Linked DNA regions of Xenopus tropicalis. The protein of the gene in region 1 interacts with the protein of each later gene in a pairwise test. Links are inferred from orthologs where the notes say so. Each region holds a gene or a part of one and is shown in the gene's direction. Other genes may lie near its edges.

Region 1 (4,056 bases):
CAATATATTGACTATGACTGATCCACTTACTATTCTGTAATTCTTTCAGACAAATGAAAACATGGAGCTCACCAATGCATTACAGAGTGAGCAGCATGTGAAAAAGGAGCTGGCCAAGAAGCTGGGGCAATTACAGGAGACCCTGGGCGATTTCAAAGAGCAGGTCAGCAATGGATGCAGTATCTATAAATGCTGTTTCATTGGGCTGTACATAGTGATACCAATTTGCTCTCTGTGTGTCCTTTCTTGACCAGCTGGCTGCAAAGGAGCAGGACATACAGATTCTGCAGAGTCAGCGAGATGAGGTCTCCGCTCACCTCCAGCAGTACAGTGCAGCATATCAGCAAGTCTCCATTGAGAAAGAGGAGATCCAGAGGCAGTATCTGCTGCAGGCTCAGCTGATGGACAGATTGCAGCACGAGGAGGTGCAGGGGAAGGTCAGCGCAGAGATGCACCTCAAGGAGTTGCAACAGAGCAGAGTAAGTGTCAGCTTGTGGCTCCCGCACTTTTGCATGTCTGCCATTGAAGTCAGTGGGAAGTTCTCAAAATAGCCACAAACATTACTTAGCCTGCATGAAAAAAAAGCGCTACATGTGGCATTTATTTATCATAAAGCTACATAATACATGTATGCCTATTGTGTTTTCTGCTGAGAGTTACTGTCTTATTCTGACCTTCCCCTACTTGTGATCTGCTGGGCTATTTCTTCCTGAGCAGTGGTTAGAAGCACCCCTTGGGTGGGCAGGTGTTGGTCTACAAAACTCAAGCACTAACCCAGAACAGGCAACTGAAGGAACATGTAATGTGAATTGTCGCGGCCCAGTCATTCATGGCTGGAGTTACTCTTTATAAAAGATCTTCACTGTTAAAGTGTTGTAGTTGCCTTGGACCTCTGCGGAACCCTAGAACATATGTTTATTGTTTTTTACCTGCTTCTTTTAACTTTAGTTCTCCTTTATAGACATTGGCAAAATCACCCAGATACAGATTGATGTTGATGATGCTCCTTTAGTTTTACTAAATGGAACCCATGCTAAAAACTCAGCCTTATCAGATCTACTTACTCTACAGCTCCTCCTCGAGTGGCTTGTGGAAGAGATAAGGAAATTAGAAAATAGTACACACAGTACATAAATAAGTATAAAAAATACTGAACTAAATTGGTATACAGGTATGGGATCCCTTATCCAGAAAGAAAATTACAGAAAGGCCATCTCCCATTGACTACATTATAAGCAAATAATTCTAATTAAAAAAAAATGATTTCCTTTTTCTCTGTAATAATAAAACAGTACCTTGTACTTGATCCCAACTAAGATATAATTAATCCTTACTGGAGGCAAAACAAGACTATTGGGTTTATTCAATATTAAAAGACTTAAGTTATATGGAGATCCAAATTAAAGAAAGATTCCTTATCCGGAAAACCCCAGGTCCCAAGAATTCTGGATAACAGGTCCCATACCTGCAATAGTAAATATTTTTTTTTTTGTATTTCAGGAAAACCTGGAGCTTCTCACTAAAGAAAACCAAGAGCTGAGAGCGCAAGTGCTACAGATCCGGAGTGAGCCAGACAGCCGAGTGCTCAATAGGATGGAAGGTGAGGCATGAGCTGTGCTCTGTTATAGCACTGATATTGGTTCTCCTGCACTGTGACGTAAATCTCACCCCTATATATTTAACTACCAGGAGATGGAGTGGAGAGTGAAGTGTATGAAGATGAGATTCTAAAGACTTCACTGGACATCCCTGAGGACTTTGAAAACAGAGAAGAGATGGTGAGTGTCAAAAGTTTTTAAGCTCTACTGATCCATCCTGTATTTGTAGTCTTCCTATTACAGGAGTTGTTTACCTTTATATTAACTTTTAGGATGTTGTAGTGAGTGCTATTCTGGAACTGTAAATGCAACTGGTCTTCATTTTGTATTACAGGTATAACACCTGTTATCCAGAATGCTCGATACCGAGGGTATTCTGGATAATTGGTCTTTCTGTAATTTGGATCTTCATACCTTAAGTCTACTAAAAAATCTATAAAGCACTAATAATAACCCAGTAGGATTATTATGCATCCAGGAAGGATTAATTATATCGTAGTTGGGAACAAATACAAAGCACTGTTTTATTTTTACAGAGAAAAAGGAAATCAATTTTAAAAATCTGAATTATGTGATTGAAATTGAAGTCTATGGGAGACAGGCTTTCCGTAATTCGGAGCTTTCTGGATATCAGGTTTCCGGATAACAGATCCTATACCTGTATTTGTGTTTTTGAATATTAAACAACTCTCCAGTTTGGAATTTTAGCAGCTATATGGTTGCTTGGGTCCAATTCACCCTAGCAACCAGGTAGTGGTTCAAATGAGATACTGGAATATAAATAGTGGGTCTAAACTGAAAGCTAAGTAATAAATAACAATAACAGTAAAATTGTAGCCTCAAAAAGCAGAAGATAAAGGCAAATAATTTATAAACGACAATGAATAAAGACCAAGTGAAATGTTGCTAAGAACTGGCTATTCTATAACATACGTAATGGTTAACCACCCCCTTTAATGATCCTCTTTCACCAACCTGGTATTTTCCTGCAGGTAGCATTTATAAGCACAGCCATAGCAAAGGTGCAAGGGGAACGGGAAGAAACGGAAAGACAGCTGGCGGAACAAAAGCGGTACTGTCAAGGTCTCTTGCGTCAGATATCGGAAATAAGGCGGCAGCAGTCATCTGGGACCATGCATCATGCAGCAGGTAATACTGCATCTAATGCCCATGCCTCCAACTTGTAGCAATTGCTTTCAGTTATCATTACCTAATCCATCAACCCCAAAATAGAACTTTTTTTTTAGCCACTTTACAAAGAAGCAGAGAACTGCATTGTTCTAATAGGGGAGCCACAATAAATATTTGTACCCACTTAGGCCTACCATTAATCATTACACTCCATAACCTGACCCAGGCCTGAAACAAGGAAGTGATCAAAGAGCAGACTGCCTTCCAGCCTTGACCTGTGAATCTCACCCATGTTTAACTGCTTGCCAGTATCCCTATTGCAACCTGCAGAGCAGGGGTCCCCAACCTTTTTATTCCTAAATCATAATTCAGTGTAAAAAGAGTTGGGAAGCAACACAAGCATGAAACTTGTACCTGGGGTGCCAAATAAAGGCTGTTATTGGGTAATTGGTAGCCCCTATGTGGAGGGGATCACTGCTGTAAGATAAGATTGGGCCATTTCTAATTATGCTCCTTTAGTTGTAAAAATTATAGGTACCACTGGTTTGTATTAAACTGGAACCATTATGCAAATACCAGTGTGCTGTTTTCCATCCATAGATCTCGGTATGGACAGCATTCCCAGAGAGGTGTATGATGCATTGCAAAGTGCCATGGAGAAGTTACAGGTGAGTAATGCCTACATAGTACATTCACTGATTAGTCCTGTCCCCTGAGCATGTAATACTATGGTTTGTATACATTAATCAAGGGACCCTCAACATTAGTATAAGTTTAGTTTCCAGGTCTTTAAAATGTACATTAGAGTCATTGGAGTAAGTATAGTTAGTTAAGTCCAACCAGGGTGGCCAGATACGTTCAAATTAGTTCTGGGTACCCTTAACCTCTGAGGTAAGTTTTATAAGTGGTATCGACTTGTTGACTAGCTGTTGCCATGAGGGGGGCACTAGGTAAGGTAGCTCCCATCCAATGACCGTTATCTGTTGCAAGCATAGTTGGTTGGAATGATATCGCCCAAGACACCCAGAAGGCAAATTTTGTCTGGTGAGTGTATGGTCTCTTCTAGTGGAGTGATACGGATTGCTGGTTGGAGAGATGAGAATTGGGCCTTGAATGCATGTCTGAGTTGTTAGGTATTGGTAGAATGAAATATGGTGTTGGGTGTATTTTTGGGAGATGTCTTGGTAGGAGGGGAAACCTGTGTCTAGGGTAAGATCCCCAAGGCATTTCAATCCTATTCGAGGCCAAAATATGAAGTTTTGGAGTTTTCTAAACTGATCTAAGTGTGAGTTGCCCCATAGGGGGAGTTTAGGGGAGAGCAGTGGCG
Region 2 (4,546 bases), on another chromosome or scaffold:
TACAACTAACATTGGCTGCATTGTACTAGTCTTGTCATTCAAGCAACAAGATGGATAAGAAAAAGGATTTAATACATTTGGGCGCAGCGCCTATAACATGGCCTTTACTTCCTTGTTTACGCATACTCACTCAGTAGAGCAGGTACACAACCTCTTTTACCTATGAGTCACATTCAAATATAAAAAGAGTTGGGGAGCAACACAAGCATGAAAAATGTACTTGGGGATAGCAAATAAGGGCTGTGACTGGTTATTTGGTAGCCCCTATGTAGACTGACAGCCTCCAAGTCAGGAATTAAAAAATAAGCACCTGCTTTGAGGACACTGGGAGCAACATCCAAGGGGTTTGGGAGCAACATGTTGCTCAGGAGCCACTGGTTGGGGAACACTGCAGTAGAGGATCCAGAAAGTATGTAGGGGTGTTCTCTGAAGCCATGTATTGTATGGCATGAAACAATTGTACAAGAAACTGTAATTATATCTACAGGACTGGATTTCTCTTTAGGCACTCAGAGGCTAGCATCCTCAGCTTCCCCCCACCCCTCCCACAGGGTCGCGTCCTACATCTGGCGCACAGGGGACAGGGTGCATGGAAACCTCCCGTGCATAATCCCCAGTGCCCTGCATGTAAGTAAACTTCATGTGTGGCTTGGGCGGCATGCCGGCCCTGAATGTGTGCTGCCCTAGGCCTAATCTTCATGGCCTTGCCACAAATACCGGCCTGTATATCTACAAACATGAAGTTCTACCTTTAATTGTCCTTAAAAACTTGCAGTAAGATGATCAAATAGGTTAAATAATTGATTGATCTTAATTTGTTCTGTTGTGGTGGGAATATAAAACAACAGTACATCACCCCATACCAGCTGCCATTCTCTTGCTATGCACATTTCTATAAATATAATTTTTAGTCATTTTGCACATCCCTACCCTAATTGCTATATCTTTTGCACATCCCATACTCCTAGGCATAAAAAGTATATACATGGAAATAAGGTGCAATTGTTAAATAAGAATTTCATTTTAAAAAGAATGATTTTCTTTTTTTAATGTGCCCTTGTTGATCAAATAATACTTCTATTTTGCTTTTACCCCCAGATTTTACCCATTGCACCCAATAATACTGGAGGCCCAAAACAAATACACCGTTTGGTTTTCACAAACTGGCAGAGTTGTTTACACTACCTAGTTACCAATACCTACAGACGGGCATACCAACATGCAAGAGATGGATTGCTTTTGCGCATGCGTATGGCCTGCATTCTGAGCAGGCATTTCCTGGGACACCTCTCGCGTTTGCGTCCTTGTTGTAGATGGTTCCGGCTCGCTTGGCTCTTTGGTCCTGTGTGAGATCTGAGCAGGCATTACATAGGGCAGCTTGGCCCTCCTGGGTCCTTGCTGTTGTCGGAACAGGCTTTCGCTTAAGCAACACCACCAGTAGGTTGTACGCATCCTCGGGAGTAGTGAGGAGGCGGAGGAGGAGAAGAAGAAGATGGCGGACGTGCTGAGCGTTCTGCGTCAGTACAACATCCAAAAGAAGGAGATCAATGTGAAAGGAGATGAGGTTATCTTCGGGGAGTTCTCCTGGCCCAAGAATGTTAAGACCAACTATGTCATTTGGGGGTGAGTATGGCGCAGAAGCGGGGAGCAATCGCTGTCATTCTGTCCTTCCCCTGTTTGGGTGCTCACTAGGCATGTGCAACACACACACACACATACACACACACACACACACACACACACACACACACACACACACACACACTGCACTGGCCCCGGGCCAAGCACAGACAGATTTATCCAGGTAACTCCAACCTGTAACTCGTGGTGCCTGTGCAACTACAGCTCCCAGCATCCCCAAATTCTGTCGAAGTTTTGAGGGACTGTGGCAGCTGCCGTTTATGAGCAAAAGTAGAATCCCACCCATAGGAGTTCGGCATAGGTTTCTGTAGCGCCCAACTCGGCAGCGATCACTGTACTACAACTCCCAGAATCCCAGGACAACCTTATTCTGCCCAAGTGCTGCTGAGAGCTGCACAAAGTCCCTGAAATCACTACTGACTATATGTGTATGGCACACTCTCCCCACTTGGGCAAATAGACTCCTGGCATTGCCTCTTATTTATATCGTTACATTACTATTCACACATGCTGTACATCCATACCTTCCTCCTCTTACTATCTGTGTCTGTATGTATCCATTGTGACTAAATGTGCCTCCCCACAACTTACTGAACTACAAATCCCAGCAAGTGTAAAGCTTTAATAGATGCTTAGGATTGTGGGAGCTTTAGTCAGGCAGCATCTCTGGCCTGCACACATAGTATTTATGCTTTCATGTTTGCATAGAAAGGTAACATCAGAAGGATACAGTTACACAATAGTATTATTTTTATGTATGTAAAAGTAATGAGATTTTGAAAAGCTGTACAGGTGCTTTTTTCATGCAAGTTAGTCCTCCCCAGCCCAGATTAAAGGGGAAGTTCACATTATCAAAAACATAGTCCTTTTGTGTAGTTAGGATAATTTTTAGGTATTTGGGAATTGGAAAAGGCGAATTTACTCATGGATGCCAATATGTGAGGCACCCATCAGGGAATTAAAGCCCTACTTTTTTTTTACCTTGGAGAAAGAGCACAACACAATGCAGCCACCTACCCTGACCCAGGTGTCCCAAGCACAGATTTAAACAAGAACTCAAAAATTAATATATATAGAAATGCTTTATTTTATTTTTTTTTTAAACATCTTTTTATTGGTGACTATAAAGGCAATACATGCTACAGGCAGTACGATTCCTTATAGCACTTTTCAAATAGATATAATTTAAAATGTCATACTTTATATATTGAACTTATTGAACACCCCTAAAGGGTTAGCGTTTCTGTAGTAGTAGTTATTATTGAGGACTTCAAAATTGTGCACAGGAGCTCCCAATTTTAGATTGTTAGAAGTGTCAGTAACACTGCACATACTCTGTGTTCTCAGAGCAGCTGTTCTGTTGATAAGCTAAGCTTAGTGGTTGTTACAAATTTTTGAGCAGAAAATGTGTTTTGCCTGTCATAGAAGCTGATGCTGCAGGGTTGATTATTACATACTGATGCACATTGCACTGGTATCAGAGCTGCCCTGTACTAATAATCTGTATTATTGTGACATTTATACTGTGTACATGCACTGTTTTGTAAGTTAGTTCAGCACAGAGCATGTGCAGTGCGTCAGCAGAAGGAAGATGGGGAGCTACTGTAGGTATATTTCGGGGGACAGATCCTCCAAGCTGAATGGCTGTTGTTGCCTTGTGTTGGTACAGAAGCACAAAACATAATGTGCTGCATTTCTGCTCTACTTCTCAAACTTTAGTTCTCCTTTAAGCCCATGCAAGTGCAGTGGAGCACAATTAAAAACTTTTACTCTGTTGTACAGGTATGGGACCCGTTATCCAGAATGCTCAGGACCTGGGGTTTTTCCGTAATTTGCATCCTCATATTTTACTTAAAAATCATTTATAAATTAAATTAAGCCAATTGGATTGTTTTGCCTCCATTAAGGATAAATTATCTTAGTTGGGATCAAGTACAAGAAACAGAGCAAAAGGAAATATAAAATTTTTAAAATGTAAGTTCTTTCCTTAAAATGGAGTTGATGGGAGATGGCCTTTCCGTATAACTGGTTTCCAGATAATGGGTCCATACCTGAACATTTCAAAGGCTATGTCTGAAGAGGGACAGCTGGGAAATGCTGGTAACCTGGCTGTGTTGCTGCATTACTTTTTCCCCCTGGCTGGTTTTATTTTATTTTTTCCTAAAAAGAGCATGGATGGAAAGTATGGGTCAGGGACCCCCCCTTCCCACATGGATTGGATAGAGGCGTACTTGAATAAACACAAAGCAGTCAAAAACATTTTTGAAACATGGGAATCTTTTATTAGTATAATTCCACATGCACTGAAAGTTAAAATACTGCTTTAAAACTACCAATTGGTATATAACAGACTCTGAGAGGTAACCCACCTATACAATTAGAAACAGAAAGAGAGGTTAAGGCTGATGCCACACGTGGCGGTTTTACGCTGCGTATTTTCTAATTCTCTCGGCGGTTGAAAAACGCACAATATCATCATCCATAGAAATAACTTAAACAGTCTCGATGCTAGAAATACGCTAGAAAACGTGTCACCACGGAATTTTCATGCGTTTGCCGAAATACGCCGTTATTTGCACAGCAACCTATTCCTTTGTGTACACAAAAGCAGCTGCCAGACCTTGAGGAAATATGCAGCGTTTTTACTATTTCGCACTATTAGCACCATGGGAAACGGGATTTGCTACGTCACCAGTACTAGGCTGAAAAACGCCATAGTCAGGGGCTGTGTGGGTTGTGCAGCGTTTTTAGGCGGAGAAAATACGCAGTGTAAAAAAGCCACGTCTGGCATTCGCCTAACCCTAGATAACCTCCAATACGAACTTAACCCTCTGAAGGAGTAAATTATTAGTTTATAAAAAAAAATATATATGGTACTTTCTATTACAAGATACAATTATAACTT
Region 3 (4,780 bases), on another chromosome or scaffold:
CAAGGCTCCAAAAAAATAGCCCAAAACTGTACCTTGGCAGGTTTGTACTTTGGAAACCCGCCAGGGCATTAAATTAGTAGCCCAATTTGGTGGGAAAACCGCCAACCTGGCAACCCTGGTACCGCCCAGTTGGGTATAAGCAGAAAAAGTCAAGCGCCAAAAACATATGGAGGCAGAGTAACAAGTTTAGTTGGTAATTTTCACAAGTGCGGTTGTCATTATCAACCACTTTCGAACAGCCTATGTCCCAACGCAAAGGTTGCATTTTCTGGAGTAAAAATGCCCAGTGTGGGAAGAGTCCCTGCTGTGAATGCTCACACATATGGTTTGGTTTCAGGTTCTGTCTGCACCTTTTCTGCCAGGGTTTTTTTCTGCTGACAGGGAGCAGGTTAAAGAACATACGGGTTGAGCCTGAAAGAACAAAATGGGAATACAAAACAGAGCCTCTGTCTATAGTGTCACAAAACAAAAACTGTAGTACCGTGTTAGCCAGTGTCAAAAATAATAATAAAAAAACACGTATTTTGCCTGATGAAGGGGCCTTAGAGCTCCGAAAGCTTGCAATGTATTTTTATTGTTAGCCAATATAGGTATCATTTCTACAATACTCTTGTATTTGTGTTTTGTTGTTTTTTTATTATTATTTATGTCTATAGTGTCCAATTGCATGCTGGGTATTGTAGTTTTATATGAATCCTAGCTGTAGGCTAATTGTTAGATATAAACTACATTACCCAGCATGCAGTGGAACAGGCACACTAGGCGGAAAAAACTTTGGCTAGTTTCCAAACTACAAACCCTCCAAGGCTCCAAAAAAATAGCCCAAAACTGTACCTTGGCAGGTTTGTACTTTGGAAACCCGCCAGGGCATTAAATTAGTAGCCCAATTTGGTGGGAAAACCGCCAACCTGGCAACCCTGGTCCTGCCCAGTTGGGTATAAGCAGAAAAAGTGTGGTTGTCATTATCAACCAGTTTTGAACAGCAAGGTTGCATTTTCTGGAGAAAAAATGCCCAGTGTGGGAAGAGTCCCTGCTGTGAATGCTCACACATATGGTTTGGTTTCAGGTTCTGTCTGCTGACAAAGGAAATGCTATAGAGCAGGGAGCAGGGAGCAGGTTGTAAAACATACAGGTGGAGCCTGAAAGAGCAAAAGGGAATACAAAACAGAGCCTCTATATACTGTCTAAATGCATGCTGGGTATTGTAGTTTATATTAATCTTAACTGTAGGCTAATTATTAAATACAAACTACATTACCCAGCATGCAGTGGAACAGGCACACTAGGCAGAAAAAACCTTGGCTAGTTTCCAAACTACAAACCCTCCAAGGCTCCAAAAAAAAGCCCAAAACTGTACCTTGGCGGGTTTATACTTTGAAAACCCGCCAGGGCATTAAATTAGTAGCCCAATTTGGCGGAAAAATCGCCAACCTGGCAACGCTGGTGCGCTATACTCAGCTTTTGCGCACTACATTTCCCAGCATGCAATAGTACCTACTCCCTAGTGTTCGGATGTAGCGGAAGTACGGAAGCGGAAGTTGAGATAGCGGCGCTGGTTCCTGTGAGGGGAACAAAGAGGCTAGGAGGGCAGAGCGGGGTGTGAGGTTAGTGCGGCTGGGGAGCGGGTCGGTGGTACTGTGGGAGGTTCTGCCGGAGGAAACAGAGTGAGGTGCTTGGTATGTGGGGAAGGATGGCGGCATTTTGGGAGTCAGAGGGGTTTGGGAAGCCGAGGCCCAGCAGGCCTGAGGGGGGCAAAGGCTATGCAGTATTCGGTGGGAAACTCATCTGTGGGGTGCTATTCCTGCTTTATTTTTTCTCTCACTTATACAATGTTATTATTATTAGCAACAACACTTTTAAAATTGGCTACATTGATTTTATACATGGCAACAATAGTTACAGACTGCATTGGGCTCTCACTAAACGTTTAAACTATTGCAGTTTGTGCATTTAGTATGGGCCTCATTTTATAGGGATTAGGCTGCAATCTCACAACCTTCTACTTATCCCTCAAACCATTTGATCAAAAGGGGCTGGTCACATATAAATTCACTTTTTGTATGACCATTTGCAATTGGTCATTGTTTTTTCAATTTATTTGTATTGTTGTGAAGCAAATGCCCAGTTGAGAATTTCAGCAGCTTTCTGGTTGCTAGGCTTCAATTTAACCTAGCAACCAGGTTTAAAGAGACAGGAGTATGAATAGAGGCGGGTCTGAATAGTAAGAGAAGTAATATAACGTAACAATAAAATTGGAGCTTCAGCTGCTTTATCCATATACATTGTGTGTTTTGCATGTATTTTTAACTTCATTCTGTTTTACATTGCAGGTTCTATGGGAGAGGACTGAATAAAATCTGCGAAAATGTCAAGTAAGTTTCCCTTTTGCCGAAATGGTTTGGGGAAAAAAAAAATACAGACACTAGGATTTTAGTATCTGAATAAATAGTGAATTATTGATCATAAAAACACATGGAAGAATAGTAAATGTCATGTAGGCTGAGCGGCACGGTTCATATGTAGGTAGGTACCGCGTACAGAACATGGGCTAAACAGAGCTTTACCTTCTGGCTTGCTGGTTACACCTGGGCTGCCATAAAGGTTGCCATACACGGGCAGAATTAAACTTCTGATTCAAGTCCTTCAGACCAATTCTGCAGCCAGGGTTGGACTGGGGGGTGCAGGGCCCACAGGGGCTGGCGTCACAGGGGCCCTGCAGTTGCCCCACTGGCCTCGTACCACTAACCCCCCCCTCCCCTTGGGGCCCCATACACAGGCAAATAAGCTGCAGACAGGGTCGGCCAGGTGAGCGCCGGCAGGGGTTGGGTCTGGGTTTTTTCCCGGCATCCCGATCCGACCCTGTCTGCAGCCCGTGTATGGCGTCCCTAGGCTGCAGTGGCGTAACTTGATTGCACCAGGTTCCCTTGCAAAGAAATCTTTTGAGAACTCCTGGTGTGAACAGTCACTCCTCCCTCCAGGCCTTCATGGCACCGAATGTCCTGGGGAGGATAGGCTTGGGGAAAGGGAACCCTGCGGTCCCGGCCCCCCAACTGCCACAGGGTCTGCTGTATAGGTTGTTACACCACTGCTAGACAGGCCTCCCTGACCGATATCCGACTGAAAATTGAAACCAGATGTCCATTGGGCAGCTTTGATTTTCCCTCCGGATCAGGGACAGCTCCTATGCCCGTTGTTGTAATTTGGTTGTTTAGACCTAGGGTCAGACAATTGAATTAACCTGATATGCCCACCTTAGGGACAAAGATCTGCTCTTTGGGCAACATCACTATATGAGGGGATCTTAACCTCTATGGCCACCATAAGTATGCTGAAGATTTAATGTCAGCTGAAAAGTTTGGTGGAGAATAAATTGGTCTGTCTCTGCTAAGGCCTCTGATTTCCATAATCCCCTTTGTGCTTCCTGCTTTGCGGTCGGGCTGGGCTGCCAGGACACCGGGAAAAAAACCCAGTGGGCCCTGGCAGCCCAGACCCAACCCTTGCCGGTGCTCCCCCAGCCGACCATTCATCCCCTGACGCGTTAAACTTATGCATGCTCAGGGGAGGACATTGCGTGGGGGGCCCTGCTGGGGTGTAAGGGTGGCCCTGCAGGGGGGTTAGGGAAGCTCAGCGGGGGCCTGTCCAGGATGGGGGATGTGGCCAGTAGGGGCACCTCCTGGGCCCCTTGGTTGGTAGCCCCAGTGGGCCCTGCACCCCCCAGTCTGACCCTCCCTCTTCCTGTGGCTAAATAGACGTAAATCTCAACAACAGTATTTCTAGTTAAAAGCCTTACCAGTGGAATAGAAGCCTTTATAGCAGCAAAGGGAGAATCAAATTCATATTAATTCTTCAGACTGTTACCAAGGCCAACGCGTAGGCCAAATATAGATACCTGGATTTTAGTATCTGAATAAATAGTGCATTATTGATCATAAAAACCCATGTAAGAATAGGAAAATACATATGAGGCCATTTCATTAATAACTGTGCTAAAGATCTGCATTAAAAAAAAATGTAATCATGTGTAATTGTGTTTTCTACAGAGCGACCATCATATGCTCCACCTCCAGCCCCGGCCCCCACTACAGTGAGTAGAAGGAAATTGTCAAATATTGTATGATAAAGGAATAAGTACTGTAATGAATCAATGGTGCTATTGCATAAGATTGTTTGGGTGCCAGATGACAACATTAGACTCGAGTCTGTTCGCAAACGGACCCAAATGGCCTTGTGAAATGGCTTCCTGTATGATAGTTACAGTTTGCAAATGCAGCTACAGCTGTGCCATACTTTACACACAAGACAAACTGAGCTCAAATCCTAAACCCAATAGACGGATGTGCACTAATTTTAAAACACAATTCTGTGGCTTAAAATTAGAAAATATATTTTAATGGGCAATACAATTATTTCGGATAATAGAATAAAATCCCCTTACCTGCTTCTCATAAAATACACATTAAGCGTCAGTGTGATGTGTGCTGTCATTGTGTGCGTTTGTGAAGTGTGATTTTTTTTTTTTGCTTTTTTCCCTCAGTCCCTCTTGTGAAATATGTAAGATAATCGGCAATATTTTTTTAAGCCCATTTTACTCTGCACGATTCATTAAGTACAACCTGATCTTTTAAGCTTAAACGTGGTTGGGAAAGGCCACTAGTCAATATGGCACTCTTACAATTAATATTGGTAGTGTATTTTACAGCTGCAGAAATGAAGTGCTCACACCAACCTACTGTACTGATTTTCTGTCAGGCCAGGTTATATTAAAATGATATCGAAGAAA
Region 4 (4,056 bases), on another chromosome or scaffold:
GTGGGTTATTTTTAGAGCCATTATTTGGAGGCGTCAGGGAGAGGACACCAGTAATAAAGATAAGGAGAATAGCACACGCAAAGATTATAAGCATTTCCTGTATGGCTTGAACATATTGGGATTTACAGTAGGATTATTCTTTATTTTGATGCAATTGTCAAAAGTTTGTAAATGTGTGTTTATAATCTACCACAGGAAAATATCTAATATTAAGTATATGTGGTTTTTCCGCAGATGGATTCACATGTACGTTATCCTGATCAATGTGTGTTTGTTGCTCCACCCTCACCTGAGCTTCCTCCCAGACCCACTACTTTACCATCTCCCCGGCTCAGCCCTGCAGGCTCGGGTAGGTCCCAACCTGAAGGATCAAGTAGCTTCCAAACTCCCCTCACAGCGGTACAGTTCTCCACCCGTCCTCTTTCACCTGTTGGCTCTTCTGCCCCTGACCGATCCCAACCAGAAGGATCTCAGAGGCTCCATCCTTTAGGATCCCCAATAAATGTAAGAGTGGAATCTGGCAGATCACAGCCTGAGGGATCCTGTCCTAGTCTCTTGTCCCCTACCCGGCAGTACCCACCTTTGCCTCCACCTCCATCCTCTCCTCATCGCTCTCCTGTCCTAAGTCCTAGAGGATCACCTGATGTCCCCAGGACTCCGCACAGAGCACACACTTCTAGACCCCAAGACCAGCATCCAACCCCTGAATGCATTCGACCTTCCCCAGCAAAAGCCGACAAATCCCAAGGTGATAGTACAGTGGATGTAGCAGGGAAGGACTTCAGGTAACATTTCCAAAGATTTTCTTGGCCACGAACAAAAATTAAAAAAAAAAATATAAAACTTCCTAATCTGGTAATATTAAGCAGTTATGGTAGGTGAATTTGGGTAGATTTACAGTACACATTCATTATTATATTTGTTTTTTTTACTCTGACTACAAGGATATATGTTATCACATGGAATGTTGGATGTGCTGTGCCACCCTCGGACCTTACTTCCCTCCTCTGCCTCAATGCTAGAGATGATAAAATCGATATGTTTGTTATCGGGTAAGAATTAAAGTTCGTTGTCTATGCATTTCCTGTGAACACGTGCATGAGATTTGTTTTATATTAATAGCTGAAAGTGCAATAGGAAATGAGTCACGGTCACTCCTGCTGTGTCTCTGCAGGCTGCAAGAGGTCAATTCTATGATCAATAAACGCCTGAAAGATGCTCTGTTTTCCGATCAGTGGAGCGAGGTCTTTATGGATGTCCTCAGTCCTTTCAGCTATGTTTTGGTGAGGCCCAAATAATAATCCTTTACTGCATGCTTCCTACTTTGGTTTTGTTTCATAAAAGGGGTTAAAGGTATTCATTATTTTCACTTTTTAGAGCTCGCCGATTCATAAGATATTTAAAAAAAACAAAACAAAATGTGTGATATGTTCTGACCCTCTAATTTCCCTTGTCCCTAGGTCAGCTCAGTAAGAATGCAAGGTTGTCTGCTGCTGGTGTTTTCAAAGTATTTCCACTTGCCTTTCCTCCGGGACATACAGACTGACTGCACAAGGACTGGCCTCGGAGGATACTGGGTCAGTGTGCGGGTGTTTCTAGGCTGCACAGTAATTCTTCGGAATAGATTATTAACACTCCAGTTACACCAAAAAATGATTTTTTTTTTTAACAAAAATCCCTTATTAATCATATTTTCCATTGGGTGGTTGCATAGACAGTTATGAATGTTATCTGACCCTCCCAGAGTCACCAGTAAAAATAGTATGCTTCTAAACAGTTAAGTAGAATGAGTTCTGGAGCACTGCATGATAGCCTCTGCAGTTCCAAATGCTATTGCAGTGCTTCTATAGAAAAATGTCATAAATCAATGTAAGCATAGGTATTCCTGATAATAAGCAAAAATGATCATGATAGTTTTATGGTTTTAACAGCCTTAAAGGGAGACATTTAATGTTCCTCTCTGTTTAACCCTTTACTAGACTATACTTTTCTTTATAGCATTTAATTCTGTATAGGTAATGGCGCTATTGAAGAGGCTCAGTACTGTTAAAGGGTAGCTTTTCCCAAGCCACATTTATACTTTCTTACTTTTGGCTTGATTTCTGTATTTATACTTATTCAGTATGCAGGGATGTATACATTCTTTGTTGTACCAGCATATGGCAGACATACATTTATTTAACAAAACAATTTTGGTAAAATCTAACATAAACATTTACAACCTTACGTGGTGCCTTATTGTCTAAGATAGAGTTAAAAGTCTTGTCCTAATATATTAATCCTACTCATAAATGAGTTGTTGTATGTTTAAAGATGGAGTATAAACAACAAAGAGACGCACAGTATACAGGTGCTAGGACCCAGTTTGCATTTGCCTGTAGTAGTTATGTCCCAAGATAAAGCTCTTCACTGCTCAGTGTCTGTACTGCACCAAGATATAGAGAATCTGGAGTGACAAATACTTGTCTTTCCTAGATGCTTGGCTGAATTAGATTCATATATACGCTATATGCATGCTCCTGAGGGCCTTGCACCTGGAGGCTACTGGGCTAAGTGCAACCATGCAAGAAATTTTTATGGATCCCAATATGCACAGTAAATAAGATATAAACATCCTACCTAAGTCAAGGTCCTCATTTTTGAATTACAGTTGGAGCTGTGTTCTGCTACACAATGCATTTCTAAGATTCTTTTAAAAATGGGGGATAGTCCTTGTACAATCCCATAACTACTGCCAAATTGACTCTTATACTAAAGGCTTCCATATTCTGCTGATTGGACTTATAGGAAATGAAGCCATAAAATGGATCAAATTAATTTGTAAATGGAGACAAGCCAAGCTGAGATTTAATTCACATATGATATATGGGCTCCTTTAATGTTTAATAGAAAGTGTTATAAAATCAGAGAAACAGATTAAGCTAAAGGAAAAAAGCAAGCAAAGATTATGTTTTTACCGTACTATTGTGTAAATAAATCTAATAAATCTTAATTCCTCTTGGTTGGTGATTCTGGTGGGGTGAAATTAAAAAAATAACATGATTCATTTAGCAGAATTCCAGCATAGTTGCTAGGGATGCATCAAATTCACATTTCAAAAAAATACTCTGCCAAATCCCAAACCGAATATAAACCTTAATTTGTATATTGAAATTTGAGAAAAATAACAACATAAATTATTAACAAAAAAGTTTCAGTTTTCCAGAGCTTTAAAGTTTGCTTTGGCTAAACAGTTAAGCTTTGGCCAAATTCAAATCCTACAATAAGTGCTTGATTTTGCTAAACCCTGGATTGCTGCAGGCAGGACCAACATTTACTACTGATAACTGAGATCCAAAGATTTGAGGCAGTTTGAAAATTGCAGGTTCATAGCTAAAAGTTGCACCTGTGGGGGGTGGGGGGCATGTGTGCAGGCCAAGTGGTTTGGCAGTGAGTGCCTATAGGCTCAACATGCAAAGGAAGCCCTGTACTTACTACCTGTACAAGGCAGGTGTTAGTAACAGGGCTTTTTGTGCCATCAGCACATTGGCCCATTAATAAAGTAGGAGCAAGTGCATTGTGTATGGCATTTTTATGGGTGCAGATCTAGTACCTAACAATTGTAAATGAGCCCTAATGTTTCCTTATTTATAGGGTAATAAGGGTGGAGTCAGCATTCGATTATCTCTTTTTGGTCACATGGTATGTTTTCTTAATTGCCATTTACCGGCTCATATGGAGAACACTGATCAGCGAGTGGATAATTTTGAAAGCATCTTGCAGCTTCAGCAGTTCCAGGGACCGCTGGCAAATGGTGTTCTGGACCATGAGTAAGTAATTCTGCCTCAGTGTCTTTGCCATTATTCTGTTTATATTGTTGCCCACTTTAAAGGACATGTAAAGCCTACATTTGCCTACAATGTATATTTGTTGGGCATGTCTCCTCCAACCAAATGGCATCATTTGTACTGCATATATCCCCCTCCATTTGCTAGCACCATCACATTTTACTAAAGCAAATAGCAGCTTTCAGCTGGTGGCCATTTTTCCTCTGATACAGAATCAGATACATATAAA
Region 5 (4,056 bases), on another chromosome or scaffold:
GCCCAACTAGCAGCTTATTAGTTATTGTTGAAGTACAGCACCCAGCTATATATTTATTCCCCCCTTTGGGGCTGTGTAAAAGGTGGAGTAAAACATCACCGGTGATGTTGTTTATAGCAGCTAATCAGATGCTTTGCTTTGATTTTCTGTATGTTGAAATCTAATTGCTGATTGGTTGCCCTGGGCCACATCACCGGTAATGCTTCACTCCACTTTTTACACAGCATGATAAATATACCCTAATTGTTCATCATATAAGATTCAAGGTTTTTGCAGATAGCAGAGTTCTGGACTCCAGTATTGTGGGATGTGTTGTCAGCCTGTGAGCCATTATGTTGTCCCATATACAGGTCCTTTTAAAAAAATTAGCATATTGTGATAAAGTTCATTATTTTCTGTAATGTACTGATAAACATTAGACTTTCATATATTTTAGATTCATTACACACAACTGAAGTAGTTCAAGCCTTTTCTTGTTTTAATATTGATGATTGTGGAATACAGCTCATGAAAACCCAAAATTCCTATCTCAAAAAATTAGCATATCATGAAAAGGTTCTCTAAATGAGCTATTAACCTAATCATCTGAATCAACAAATTAACTCTAAAAACCTGCAAAAGATTCCTGAGGCTTTTAAAAACTCCCAGCCTGGTTCATTACTCAAAACCGCAATCATGGGTAAGACTGCCGACCTGACTGCTGTCCAGAAGGCCATCATTGACACCCTCAAGCAAGAGGGTAAGACACAGAAAGAAATTTCTGAACGAATAGGCTGTTCCCAGAGTGCTGTATCAAGGCACCTCAGTGGGAAGTCTGTGGGAAGGAAAAAGTGTGGCAGAAAATGCTGCACAACGAGAAGAGGTGACTGGGCCCTGAGGAAGATTGTGGAGAAGGACCGATTCCTGACCTTGGGGGACCTGCGGAAGCAGTGGACTGAGTCTGGAGTAGAAACATCCAGAGCCACCGTGTACAGGCGTGTGCAGGAAATGGGCTACAGGTGCTGCATTCCCCAGGTCAAGCCACTTTTGAACCAGAAACAGCGGCAGAAGCGCCTGACCTGGGCTACAGAGAAGCAGCACTGGACTGTTGCTCAGTGGTCCAAAGTATGTCATTCGGAAATCAAGGTGCCAGAGTCTGGAGGAAGACTGGGGAGAGGGAAATGCCAAAATGCCTGAAGTCCAGTGTCAAGTACCCACAGTCAGTGATGGTCTGGGGTGCCATGTCAGCTGCTGGTGTTGGTCCACTGTGTTTTATCAAGGGCAGGGTCAATGCAGCTAGCTATCAGGAGATTTTGGAGCACTTCATGCTTCCATCTGCTGAAAAGCTTTATGGAGATGAAGATTTCATTTTTCAGCACGACCTGGCACCTGCTCACAGTGCCAAAACCACTGGTAAATGGTTTACTGACCATGGTATTACTGTGCTCAATTGGCCTGCCAACTCTCCTGACCTGAACCCCATAGAGAATCTGTGGGATATTGTGAAGAGAAAGTTGAGAGACACAAGACCCAACAGTCTGTATGAGCTTAAGGCCGCTATTGAAGCATCCTGGGCCTCCATAACACCTGAGCAGTGCCACAGGCTGATTGCCTCCATGCCACGCCACATTGAAGCAGTCATTTCTGCAAAAGGATTCCCGACCAAGTATTGAGTGCATAACTGAACATAATTATTTGAAGGTTGACTTTTTTTGTATTAAAAACACTTTTTTTTTATTGGGCGGATGAAATATGCTAATTTTTTGAGATAGGAATTTTGGGTTTTCATGAGCTGTATTCCACAATCATCAATATTAAAACAAGAAAAGGCTTGAACTACTTCAGTTGTGTGTAATGAATCTAAAATATATGAAAGTCTAATGTTTATCAGTACATTACAGAAAATAATGAACTTTATCACAATATGCTAATTTTTTGAAAAGGACCTGTACATAATGGTCATTTGGAATGTAACAAAAAAAAAGAAACAATTTCATCGAGTTTAACCTGTTTGTCTTAAAGGGGTGGTTCCCCTTTAAGTTAACTTTTAGTATGTTATAGAATGGCCAATTCTAAGCAACTTTTCAATTGGCCTTCATTTTTTTTTTTTTTTAATTGAGTTTAATTATTTGCCTTCTTCTTTCAATTCTTTGCAGCTTTCAAATGGGGGTCACTGACCCTGGAAGCCAAAACCTAATGCTCTGAGGCTCCAGTTTTATTGTTATTGTTACTTTTTATTACTGATTTTTTATGCAGGTCCCTCCCCTATTCATTTACCAGTCTCTCATTTAAACCACCCCTGGACCCTAGCAACCAGATAGCTGCTGAAACGCCAAATTGGAGAGCTGCTGAATGACTTCAGCAGTATATAGGGTAACAAATGGTCATTCTTCACAAATCTCGCCTCTGCTTGCCTTTAGACTGGACCACCTAAACCACTGTTTAATGTATTCTCATTTTATAATTTTTAGGCACTTTACTTTTTTTCTCCTCTTGTTTTGCAGGTGTTGGAAAATCATGTCTCTTATTGCAGTTTACAGATAAAAGGTTTCAACCTGTGCATGACCTTACAATTGGTAAGTTTACGCTGAAAAGTGTCAACTTTTGATTAACAGCTCTTTTGTTAGACACCCTTCAGTAATTCTTATTGCTTACCTGGTACTTTGAGCTGATACTCCTCTTCTTAAAAAAATACAATAGCATAAGGGCCTGATTGCTGAGCTATGTGCCACCATTTTTTTCCATACTTAAAAGCTTTTGCACTGCACATGCACCCTCTTAAAATTGGTGCAGGGGACACCTGTAAAAATGAAGACAGTACCACGGACTGGTGCATATATTAGAGGAAAGTAGTGCAATGCTAGGGTATCAAGTAATTGGCTAGAATTACAGGGGGTTCTTAACAACTCAGCCCCCCCCCCCCCCCCCAATGACTTTACTGTTCTTTCAAGCATTCGGATAGTAGTGGTTAAACTTGAACACAATGAATTTTTATTTGCACTTTATATAATTAATAAACATTTCACTAGCTACAACTTAAATTTGATTAGGCAATTTTCACTTCTGTATATATTGTAGAGATGCACCTAATCCAGGTTTTGGTTCGTGATTCGGCCTTTTTCATCAAGATTCGGATTCTGACAAATCCACGCTCCGGCAGATCCAAATCCTAAATATCATGTGACTTTTTGTCATGTAAACACAGAAGTTGAAAATTTTTCACCACACGTGGCATTTAACCCTTTCAAAGCCTAATTAGCATGCTAATTCGGATTTGGTTCGGTATTTGGCCAAATCCTTTACGGTGGATTTGGGGGTTCGGCCGAACCCAAAAAAGTGGATTCTGTGCATCCCTAATATAATGTAGAAAGCAGTAATATTATGAGAGCTTACTATTGTGAATTAATGCTTCTATTTTGTTTTTAAAATGTAACACACTGTATGAACTTTACAATCAGGATCTCTTAATTTTGCATATCATAATTATTTTGTAGGTGTAGAATTTGGTGCAAGAATGATTACAATCGATGGCAAGCAGATAAAGCTTCAAATATGGGACACTGTAAGTAATAAAGACAAAACAATATATTGTCTGTTTCCTCTGCCTCTTTTGTTGTACCACATATTCTGTCAACGATCTTGTAAGTTGATATAGGGCTGATTCTCGGGTAAGAATAAGCCATTCTACTGTCCTTCGATCATTTGTGTGTTTGTGCATTGGCCTGGGTGCAGACAAACCTGCTCTCTATGTCTGGTCCCAGGATGACACAGTACTTGTGACTGCAGAGACACAAATGAGCAGAGGCCAGCGGAGTGAAATTACCCTTAAAAGGGAATGCAACCCCTGCTTATCTCTATTGACTTAAATTGGAAATGTCTGGCTGCCCCAGTATTGACACTTTTCAGTCCTAAAACACCCTCTAGAACAGTGATCCTCTACCAGTGGCTCGTGAGCAACTCCTTCAATGTTGCCCCAGTGGCCTCAAAGCAGGTGCTTAGTTTTGTCTTGGAGGCAAGTTTTGGTTGCATTACTGCCTGTGTACTGCCAAACAGAGCTTTCTGTAGACTACCAGTCCA
Region 6 (4,056 bases), on another chromosome or scaffold:
ATATATAGTACTGTTATGCACATCTTAGAAGAACACTTAAGGCCACAACCTAGAGGGCCCCACTTTAATGCTCCAGATTGTTAATGATTGTTGATAAGACCAGCCCTGCCCTTAGATACATTCAGAGGAAGGGGCGCTGCTACCATGAGGCCAGATGAGAATCATGCCTTAGATGTCAGTGCCCTGTGCATTACCAGGGGTAACACTACCATCTGAGATTTATTATAGGTTTTTATATATTCATACCATGCTTTTTTATTTTAACAGAAAGGACAGATATTCTTAGGAGCAATTCACTTTTCTGTTGCTGGTGAAACACTCTAAAAATGTTAGTGCCAGATCTAACTATTCATGCACTCAGAAAAATATTGTCATACTTTTATTTATTACACCCCTTATATTTGAACATTTATCATTTGCTTTTTGTTTACACGCATTTTATTTTAGGGCTCAATTGCTTCTGGAATTCACTATAAACATGTTAAAGGACATGAGCAACCCTGGTAATCTAATAAGGACGAAAAAGCAAGAGTATCCCATGCAGGAGGAGAGGCTAAACACCAAGAAGCTGAACCAACTGTACAATGACAGACTGAAGGCTCTAACCTTGTTTCCCACTCAGTCTGATCGTACTTTTCATCTGAAAGGTTTGAATATTAATAGTGCTCTAAATATTGCATGGGAATTACAAGAATGTTATGGACGACCAATGGAACTTTCATTTGTATTTCATTGACAGACTTTTGTCTGTATTCTGTTTCTGTATTATTATGCATAAGGAAACAGAATGAAATAATGGAAGTTCATAAGCCATTGAGAGTAAAAATTGTTGCAGTCTGTTGTCCAGAGCTTTTAATCCTGCATAAGGTGCTGGGATCTTGGCCAATCCGAAACCAAATCCCTAGTTTAAATGGTTTAAGTACCAGGTCTCATTTTCACTGTAAAGAGAAGTGAAAGGCTGCACCTCTGCCAGCTGCTTCCATCTAAGCAATGATATCAGTACCACAATGCCCTTGCCAGGGTTTCAGCCAATTTGGGAGTGTGGTTAATGTCAGCTGACAAGTACAACACACTTGGTGCCTTACTTAACCCTTTCCCTGCCAGTGAAATATCAGGTTTAAAAGCATAACCTCAAACCAGAAATATAGTCACTGTGTTGTTAGCAAGCTTTCAGTTTGCTTACTTATGATGTGGCACCTATGTTATTGGTAGACGAAAAGTCACACTTTCCCCAAAACAGGTTGCCAAATTGTAGGTCCATGCACCAATCATGAATGCTACTGGACTCCTGCCTTTACCATTCATCCTAATTTAGCCTAATTCTTTGTTGCCTTACATTTTTGTATTATATGCCTTGTTACCTTATATCCAGTTCCAGCAGTATCTACCATGCCTGCTTTGTCTGCATCCTTGCCTGCTGTCAGTGACAATGTAGTCTTATTTTGTCTTCCTAATATGTGCTACCTGCTTCTTGCCTTGTCTATCCTGCCAATATGGGCCTTGACTGCCCTGCATGTTCTCCAGGCAAGAAGACAAAAACCTTGCCTAGAATAATCACTTCCTTGGATCAATTCTCATAATTGTTTATACTTTTGATTTTACTGTTGCTTATAACAATCAGTTCTTAGCTGCACGCAATAAACACATTTTAATGTACATTATTGTTTGTGTTCTAGATACCCCCCACAGAGGAATATCTGCTGCACAAGATAAAAGTAATATCAAGAAAGAGATCAATGAAAGTATTTTCAAAGGTGAAAAAGAATTTAGCCTTTGTGGTTGGCACAAACATAAGATTAAAGTACAGCTGCATGTATATTTAAAAATATATTCCAGAATGATACTATGGGCAATGTAGGAATAGAGAAGTAGTATTTAATAAATGGGGGGAAAAGAGAAAAAAAATGTTTTTCTTAAAAAGGATTATAAAGGAGAATTGAGAAAAGCCAGAGAATTTGACAAACTTTGACCAGTTTCTGCTACTTTGAGGTTTTATACAAAGGACCTAAAGTTCTAGAAAACTTGAGTATCCAGGGGATACTGCCCCACAAATATTCTTCTCTGGCAATAGGAGACCTGTCAACCCCTCCCAGGTCTGCTATTCATCTGAACGGCAATCTCCTGCTTGAGGGGTGCACTTGCTTGTCATGTGATTTTTGGCTTTTAGCCCACAGAGCACAGTTACATCCTCCTATTTAACCATGTTGTTTAAGGAAGATACCCCTTAATTTTATTATTCATAATTCCTTAAACTTTTATGTGGCTTATGTTCTGATGGTTTTTTTTCCAACTTAAGCACCTGAAGGAGGTGCATTTGGCTTTCCTGGTGTTTCTCTCTCTCCACGATTAGCAGGCAGCAGACTGATTTTCTTTTCTCTTTGAACATTTGTTGTTGCTTTAAAACTTTTCTCCAGGAATTGTGATTACAAACCATATCTGCATTTTATATATTTATGTATAAGTAAGTGTCTGATCTAACTGCATGAAATTATTTAGTGTGATATGAATAAAAGATGAAATGAAAATACATGAAATATATTAATAACAAGTGGCAACTTGTAATTTGTTCTCTTACAGATGATACCTACATAATACCTACATTACTGGATGGTACTCACATTCCAGGTATTCATCCAGATGCTGTGTGTGAGCTAGTAAAAAGGAGGCTGAATACCACCTTGGTACTGAATATTGGTTCTAAAGAAGAGCGACAAATATTTGTATGTGTCTATTTCTTAGTTTGCAGTGTTGACATATTCTATACTGAGGCTGAATTCTTTAATTTCATGATAGTCTGTTCTTCTCTCTGCATTTTCTTATATTTAAGACTAAGAAAGTCAAGCCTTTGTTTAGTTAAAAAAATGTGTTACAGTAAATATGACTGTCACTGTTCACTGTTAGGAAGTTCCACTGGGGAGGTTAACGAATGGTACCTTTTAGGTTTTCTGCAAAAAGAAAAGCACCTGCAGAATCTATTGTTAAAGTTGAAAGGGATGCATACTTTTTCTATTTTAAGTACTATAGTGTACCAGTGTATGGCTTTGTAGTAGGACAAAATCAGAGGGAATCCTGTAAAGGAAATCCAGTTTTTTTATTAAAATATAGATATTCATGGAATACCCCAAATATGTCAATGTGGCCCTTATTTGGCCACCCTCACACTGGGCTAAATCTGTCTGATGCAATTGTTGGCCCCATTGCCTGATGGGATTTTCTAACCTACTCAATTGAGATCTGACAAATAATTTGCCTTTATCTGACTCAGATATCAGTCAAGTGGACCTTTCAGTGGATGCCCTACATGGGCAAATAAGCTGCCGACTCGGCCCCTTATATTGACTAAAATCCAGATACAAAATACTAAAAATCCACAGTGGTGTATACAGTACATTACTCAGAAACTCTTTATCAAGAAAGCTCTGAAATATTCCATCTCTCATAGAGTCTATTTTAAGCAAATTATTTTGCAATGATTTTCTTTTTCTCTATAACAATAACACAACACCTTGTACTGTATAGTAACTAAGCTGCATGAATTCATATTGGAGGCAAAACAATCCTATTGTGTTGATTAACTGTTTCATTAATTTTAAGCAGACTTAAGGTATGGTGTTCCAAATGATAAAAAAAAATCCTTACTGGGAAAAACCTAGGTCCTCAGCTTTCCATAAAATAGATGGATATAGGACCTGTTTTGCAGAAAGAAATATTAAAGCAATTTTCTAAACCAGTACAGGTATCGGACCCCTTATCTGGAAACCCGTTATCCAGAAAGCTCCGAATTACGGAAAGCCCGTCTCCCATACACTCTATTTTAATCAAATAATTCAGAATTTTAAAACTGATTTCCTTTTTCTCTGTAATAATAAAACAGTACCTTGTAATTGATCCCAATTAAGATATAATTAATCCTTATTGGATGCAAAACAATCCTGTTGGGTTCAATTAATGTTTTATTGATTTTTTAGTAGACTTAAGGTATGAAGATCCAAATTACGGAAAGACCCCTTATCCGGAATACCCTTGGTCCCGAGCATTCTGGATAATAGGTCCTAT
Region 7 (4,595 bases), on another chromosome or scaffold:
TTCACAGCGAACAGTGTGAACTGTTCCTTGGTTTTGTAGCTTTGTGGGTATTTGCCACCATGTCTAATGAAAATGCATCCTATTTGGAATGCCAGGAATGCAGCCTATTGATGGACTTTTATTTGATGAACTCTTTTGTGCTCATACCCATGGGGAGTAAATACTGGGCTTCATGGCTCCAGTTTGTCCCTAAAACAATCCAGCTTATGTGAGAATTTCAATGAAAGTAGCATTCGTAACATTTCCTTGCTTTGACCATACATGCCACTAGCAAGGGGAATTTTGACAGTCAGTGCACTTTGCGTGTCTGACAATTAGGGATACAAATATAATTATGTGGTAGAACTGCTGAGCAGCCATATGTACTAGTAACCATTGAAAATGAATGTGTTTGCTTGCAAAGAATCCTTCTGGATTCCCCAGATTGAACTGTAACAAATCAGCCCTCTTATCTGAAGAAAAAATATATAGCGGAGCACCACGAGGATAAAAATAAAAATCAGTCTTTATTCCATCAACAGTAAAAGGTACATCCATTGGGATGTACATGTGCCTTTTACTGTTGATGGAATAAAGACTGATTTTTATTTTTATCCTCATGGTGCTCCGCTATATATTTTTTCTTTATATTCTATTTCCAGGACCCATCTGGGAGCGGGTCTACATGTAGCACACTTGGGCTGTGTGGTAAGTGCTCCTGTGTATCATTGTTCTTTTTGTGCTCTTATCTGAAGGATCTGTATTCAAGTACTAGCTACTAACATCAGTACTGTTTGCAAGATGCTACCCAATCTGTTGTTAAAAGGAGAAGGTAAGGTATAATCACAGGGGGTGCAAAATGTTAGACACCCCAAGTGATAATAAATACCTGAGCCCCTGGGTTAGTGCTAATGTTTGGTGAAACTGCACCTGCCCAGGGGACTTCTGTAAGAGCATCTCATCATGAGCAGCCCCAGCCAGGGTACATATGTGCAGTAGAATGAAAAGCTTTTTGCTTCTAATTTTATTTGTGTGTGAAAGGGGAGATCAAGAATAGAGAAAAAGATGATAGCATGGCTGTACCACGTGCCGGTGCAGTTTTTCGGTGAGCAAGAGCACCAGCCTGTGGTATAATGTTAGCAATTACAATCACTGGGGGGGGGGGGCAGAATCACTGGCTTTGCATTAGAACAAAGTATTACAAATTGGAGCACCTTTTCCACATTAATGCAGCTGACATAGACAGGCATATAAAGGCACAAAGTGCAAAGGACTATATATATATTTGTAACAAACATACTTTTTTTTTGTTAGGGCTGTTACACACAAGGATAGTGTAAAGGGGAAGCAGACCTTGCAACTGCTGGGGACCAGGATGGTAGAGGGCCCAGCGGGGCTCTGATTGAAAAGCAGTTTCAGTATAAGTTTATGAAGATTTTATGTATTACCAAAGTTTAGTGGGAAAGGGGGTGCAAGTAACTTCTAGTTAAGCCAGTGTTACAGAGAAACAAAAGATTTTCCTAAAATGTTACCAAGTCTTCAACTCTATTGTGAATCCTTTATAGTGTAGATGAGTGGGAGGGAAGAACAGTGTGGCAGCCCATGCCATAAATTACTATCTCACAATTGCTCAGACTCTGCTTTAGTTGCTGCTGGAAATGGTGGGCTTCTTCCCAGGAGAAGTAGTACTGAGAAAAGGTCAGGGCATTCATTCTCCTTCTGAGTACAAGTACAGCAGCACAGAAACGTTCCTCTTCAAGCAGCAGCCAGCAGCCAGCCATCACACAGAGCAGGTTAGTAAAGATTTACATCAGGCTCTAAGTTTCCCAACAAGAACAGTCAAAATCTGGGGAATAGGCAAGATTGTGTATGCTTAACATCTGTGGGCTTTTTATGCTTAAGCAATTCACCCTATTTCCAGTTATGAAACTTACTTGTAAACTAATCTAAATATAGAGAATTGTATGCTAATGCAGAATCTCTAGCCTCAGCACTCCCTGTGTTTATACGGTGGGTTATGGGAGTTAAAGTTTATACTACGCAGTCTGGACATCCATCCTCCTAAACAGTAACTGATTTTAGGGTTCACAGTGTCACTGATGCAGTTTATATAATTTGTTCATATATAGATGGCAACTGTCAGTCATTGGACAGCAGCACAGTTTTACCTAGAATTTTTTAGACTGGCTAATACGGTACAAAACATTTCCCTTCTCTAGTAATACACTGCCACTTTGGGATCTCATAACAACAAAAGAACGGGTGGTATTATTTACTCAAGCCAATCTCCCCAGACTACAGTTCAGACTTGCAATTAAAGCTACAGGCAGCCGTATTAAAGTAGATGTGGAGATGAGAAGCAGAATTCAAAACCTTATGAAGAAATTCTGTGATCATTGTGATTGTTTGTATGATCAGATCAACAGTTTTATTCCAGGGCAGCAGCAATAAATAGTTAATGCAATGAAAATATGTTAATTTTTAGAACTATCTGCTTTTTTGGAAGATTGTGAGCAGACAGTTAGGGACTCTAGTAAAACAGCACCTTCTTATGGCTAATCTTTAATATGTATTATTCAAACCCCACCATCCCTTTTTTTGTAGTACCAAGAAATAATGTTTTAGCCAGATACCTCAGAACTGGGAATTATACTTGTTTTTCTCCAGGAAAAAAAAACTATCATCATTTAGTAAATCTTTTACATTTTGAAATGCTCTGAAGTTCACATTTACTGATGGGTGTAGACACAGATTTAGTCAGTCGCGTACAGCATACAATCAAAGGAAGAGGACTTTTCCTGAACAAGTAGAAACATTTTCCGGAAAGGCTGATTTTCCATTTATAAGTGCATTGAGTTGATGAGTTTGTGCAGATATTAAATCCCCATTCTTTATTATTTTTTAGAGCCACCTTTAGCTGTAATAGTGGTCTCATCATGATGTGGGGATGCTTTTTTGCTAGCAGGGACTGGACATTTTGAAAGAAAAGAAGAAACAATGGCTACTGCAAAAAACTGAACCTGTTTCATTCTGCTAATAAACTAAAGTGACAGTTCATCTTTCTGCAGGATAGTGATCCAAAGCATAAGGCTCCAAGAACTCCAACATGACCCAAGAACAAGATGGTCGACTCAAGGCCAGAACTAGCGGTAGGAAGGATAGGCACATTCTTAGGGTGTGATTGTGGGGGGTGCAGGCTGAGCATTGTTGGCGACTGGTGGAAGGGGAGTGACTGGCAGGTAGGATGTAAGGAAGCCAGTGAGTGACATCCGGGGGTGTGCATGGTGATGGTTGGGTGTGTGTTGCAAGGCAGGCTGACATTGCACCAGGCCATGTAGAAGTAGAACTATGGATAAGAGTGTTTCTGTTTTTACCAGTCACTTGGAGACACATAAGACAAGGTAGTCTGTAAAAAGGAAAAATGATATGTACATTTTTAAAACCTGTCCCTAAGGACCACTTGCAGCTCTCGAGAACTTTATCTAGAAGTATGAAAGCAATATTTATTTATTGAATATACCTTCTTTGCATGCAGAGGAAATTTTATATACTCCACCCATTTTATACATCTGTGCACAGGAGAAAAATATAAGGCACATTGATATCAGCCTAGGAGTTATTGATATAAATAACTGTGATCATTTCTTAAATAGTAATATACATGCAGCAATACTTTAATTTCTAAATTAACAAATGGGTTTACAAACTATAAGTGTAGATCAAATGGAGGGCTATGATCTGTATGGTATGTATTATGTACTAAGGGAGGAGACCACTCAAGCCTATAGGAAACATAGAGCTCCACATTTTGAGTCAGTGTTTTCAGTTGGCTCATACCATGCATATCCTGACATGCAACAGGAGGTCTAAAACATGCCACTTTTTTACATGTATTAATTGGTGCATTTACCTCCTGCAGCAGTCAGTATTTGTATGTAACACCCTTCCGTTTGTATAGGGCTGCAGAATATGTTTGTGCTTTATAATTAAATACTTTCTCTGTTTTTTTTTAACTCAGGAACATTTAAATGGATGAAAGACAAACAGTTTTGCCTCTCACTGTTCATCTTCTTGCCAGCTCGGGTGATTCGCTTGCCTTTCAACTTGCAGTTGACCGTCTTCTCCACAGGATATGTCCAGATGTCCGGTTGTTTCTTGTGTCGGAACGGGCTGCTCCCATTAAGCTGTATGAGTGCCAAACGAAAAGGCCTGAATTCCCAGGGATATCAGTGACACTCTTCCTGCGTGAGGACTTGGGAGAGGAAAGGATTGATCTCCTGCAAAGTTTTTTCCAGCTACCTCCATGGACTCATGTTATCGCAGACTTCCAGCAAGGAAGATCCTGCCCCTTTAAACTGCCGCTTTGTGATTATTATAGTCTTGATTCCCACATGCCTGTGTGGGAAATGAGACATGTCCATTATGGCACAGAAATTGTGAGACTCACTGTGTATTGTAGCTGTGATAACTATGAAGATGCAGTGAGACTCTATGAAACAATCCTGCAAAAGGAGGCAACTACCCAAAAAGCTGGATTTTGTTTCTTTGTATTGTATTCTACAACACATGTGTCTGTCCAACTTTCCATAAAGCAGCTGCACCCTGGGATATCTGTG

Evidence for each region.
Region 2: the proteins of golga2 (region 1) and cdc73 interact in binary tests that used the Homo sapiens proteins (3 or more experiments, as listed by UniProt). The two-hybrid records come from large-scale screens. The link is inferred for Xenopus tropicalis from reciprocal best matches to the Homo sapiens genes GOLGA2 and CDC73.
Region 3: the proteins of golga2 (region 1) and smarce1 interact in binary tests that used the Homo sapiens proteins (3 or more experiments, as listed by UniProt). The two-hybrid records come from large-scale screens. The link is inferred for Xenopus tropicalis from reciprocal best matches to the Homo sapiens genes GOLGA2 and SMARCE1.
Region 4: the proteins of golga2 (region 1) and inpp5j interact in binary tests that used the Homo sapiens proteins (3 or more experiments, as listed by UniProt). The two-hybrid records come from large-scale screens. The link is inferred for Xenopus tropicalis from reciprocal best matches to the Homo sapiens genes GOLGA2 and INPP5J.
Region 5: the proteins of golga2 (region 1) and rab2a interact in binary tests that used the Homo sapiens proteins (3 or more experiments, as listed by UniProt). The link is inferred for Xenopus tropicalis from reciprocal best matches to the Homo sapiens genes GOLGA2 and RAB2A.
Region 6: the proteins of golga2 (region 1) and ccdc87 interact in binary tests that used the Homo sapiens proteins (3 or more experiments, as listed by UniProt). The two-hybrid records come from large-scale screens. The link is inferred for Xenopus tropicalis from reciprocal best matches to the Homo sapiens genes GOLGA2 and CCDC87.
Region 7: the proteins of golga2 (region 1) and fam124b interact in binary tests that used the Homo sapiens proteins (3 or more experiments, as listed by UniProt). The two-hybrid records come from large-scale screens. The link is inferred for Xenopus tropicalis from reciprocal best matches to the Homo sapiens genes GOLGA2 and FAM124B.

Annotation. Positions count from the first base shown.
Region 1 is NC_030684.2:22,909,591-22,913,646, reverse strand, and holds part of golga2 (golgin subfamily A member 2), read left to right. Parts: intron 1-49; coding exon 50-163; intron 164-254; coding exon 255-479; intron 480-1,500; coding exon 1,501-1,600; intron 1,601-1,689; coding exon 1,690-1,778; intron 1,779-2,590; coding exon 2,591-2,747; intron 2,748-3,329; coding exon 3,330-3,397; intron 3,398-4,056. UniProt on the Homo sapiens protein: Peripheral membrane component of the cis-Golgi stack that acts as a membrane skeleton that maintains the structure of the Golgi apparatus, and as a vesicle thether that facilitates vesicle fusion to the Golgi membrane.
Region 2 is NC_030680.2:113,579,779-113,584,324, reverse strand, and holds the start of cdc73 (parafibromin), read left to right. Parts: upstream 1-1,482; 5' UTR 1,483-1,492; coding exon 1,493-1,623; intron 1,624-4,546.
Region 3 is NC_030686.2:8,332,810-8,337,589, forward strand, and holds the start of smarce1 (SWI/SNF-related matrix-associated actin-dependent regulator of chromatin subfamily E member 1), read left to right. Parts: upstream 1-1,585; 5' UTR 1,586-1,604; exon of another isoform or gene 1,605-1,676; intron 1,677-2,330; 5' UTR 2,331-2,365; coding exon 2,366-2,372; intron 2,373-4,040; coding exon 4,041-4,084; intron 4,085-4,780. UniProt on the Homo sapiens protein: Involved in transcriptional activation and repression of select genes by chromatin remodeling (alteration of DNA-nucleosome topology).
Region 4 is NC_030677.2:144,061,874-144,065,929, forward strand, and holds part of inpp5j (phosphatidylinositol 4,5-bisphosphate 5-phosphatase A), read left to right. Parts: intron 1-234; coding exon 235-785; intron 786-944; coding exon 945-1,052; intron 1,053-1,174; coding exon 1,175-1,283; intron 1,284-1,460; coding exon 1,461-1,577; intron 1,578-3,633; coding exon 3,634-3,809; intron 3,810-4,056. UniProt on the Homo sapiens protein: Inositol 5-phosphatase, which converts inositol 1,4,5-trisphosphate to inositol 1,4-bisphosphate.
Region 5 is NC_030682.2:116,955,697-116,959,752, forward strand, and holds part of rab2a (ras-related protein Rab-2A), read left to right. Parts: intron 1-2,483; coding exon 2,484-2,555; intron 2,556-3,473; coding exon 3,474-3,541; intron 3,542-4,056.
Region 6 is NC_030679.2:48,339,357-48,343,412, reverse strand, and holds part of ccdc87 (coiled-coil domain-containing protein 87), read left to right. Parts: intron 1-447; 5' UTR 448-478; coding exon 479-647; intron 648-1,676; coding exon 1,677-1,754; intron 1,755-2,577; coding exon 2,578-2,720; intron 2,721-4,056. UniProt on the Homo sapiens protein: Plays a role in spermatogenesis, where it is important for normal sperm head morphology. Also required for the acrosome reaction and thus normal male fertility.
Region 7 is NC_030681.2:123,828,678-123,833,272, forward strand, and holds the start of fam124b (protein FAM124B), read left to right. Parts: upstream 1-1,615; 5' UTR 1,616-1,772; intron 1,773-3,047; 5' UTR 3,048-3,128; intron 3,129-3,997; 5' UTR 3,998-4,007; coding exon 4,008-4,595.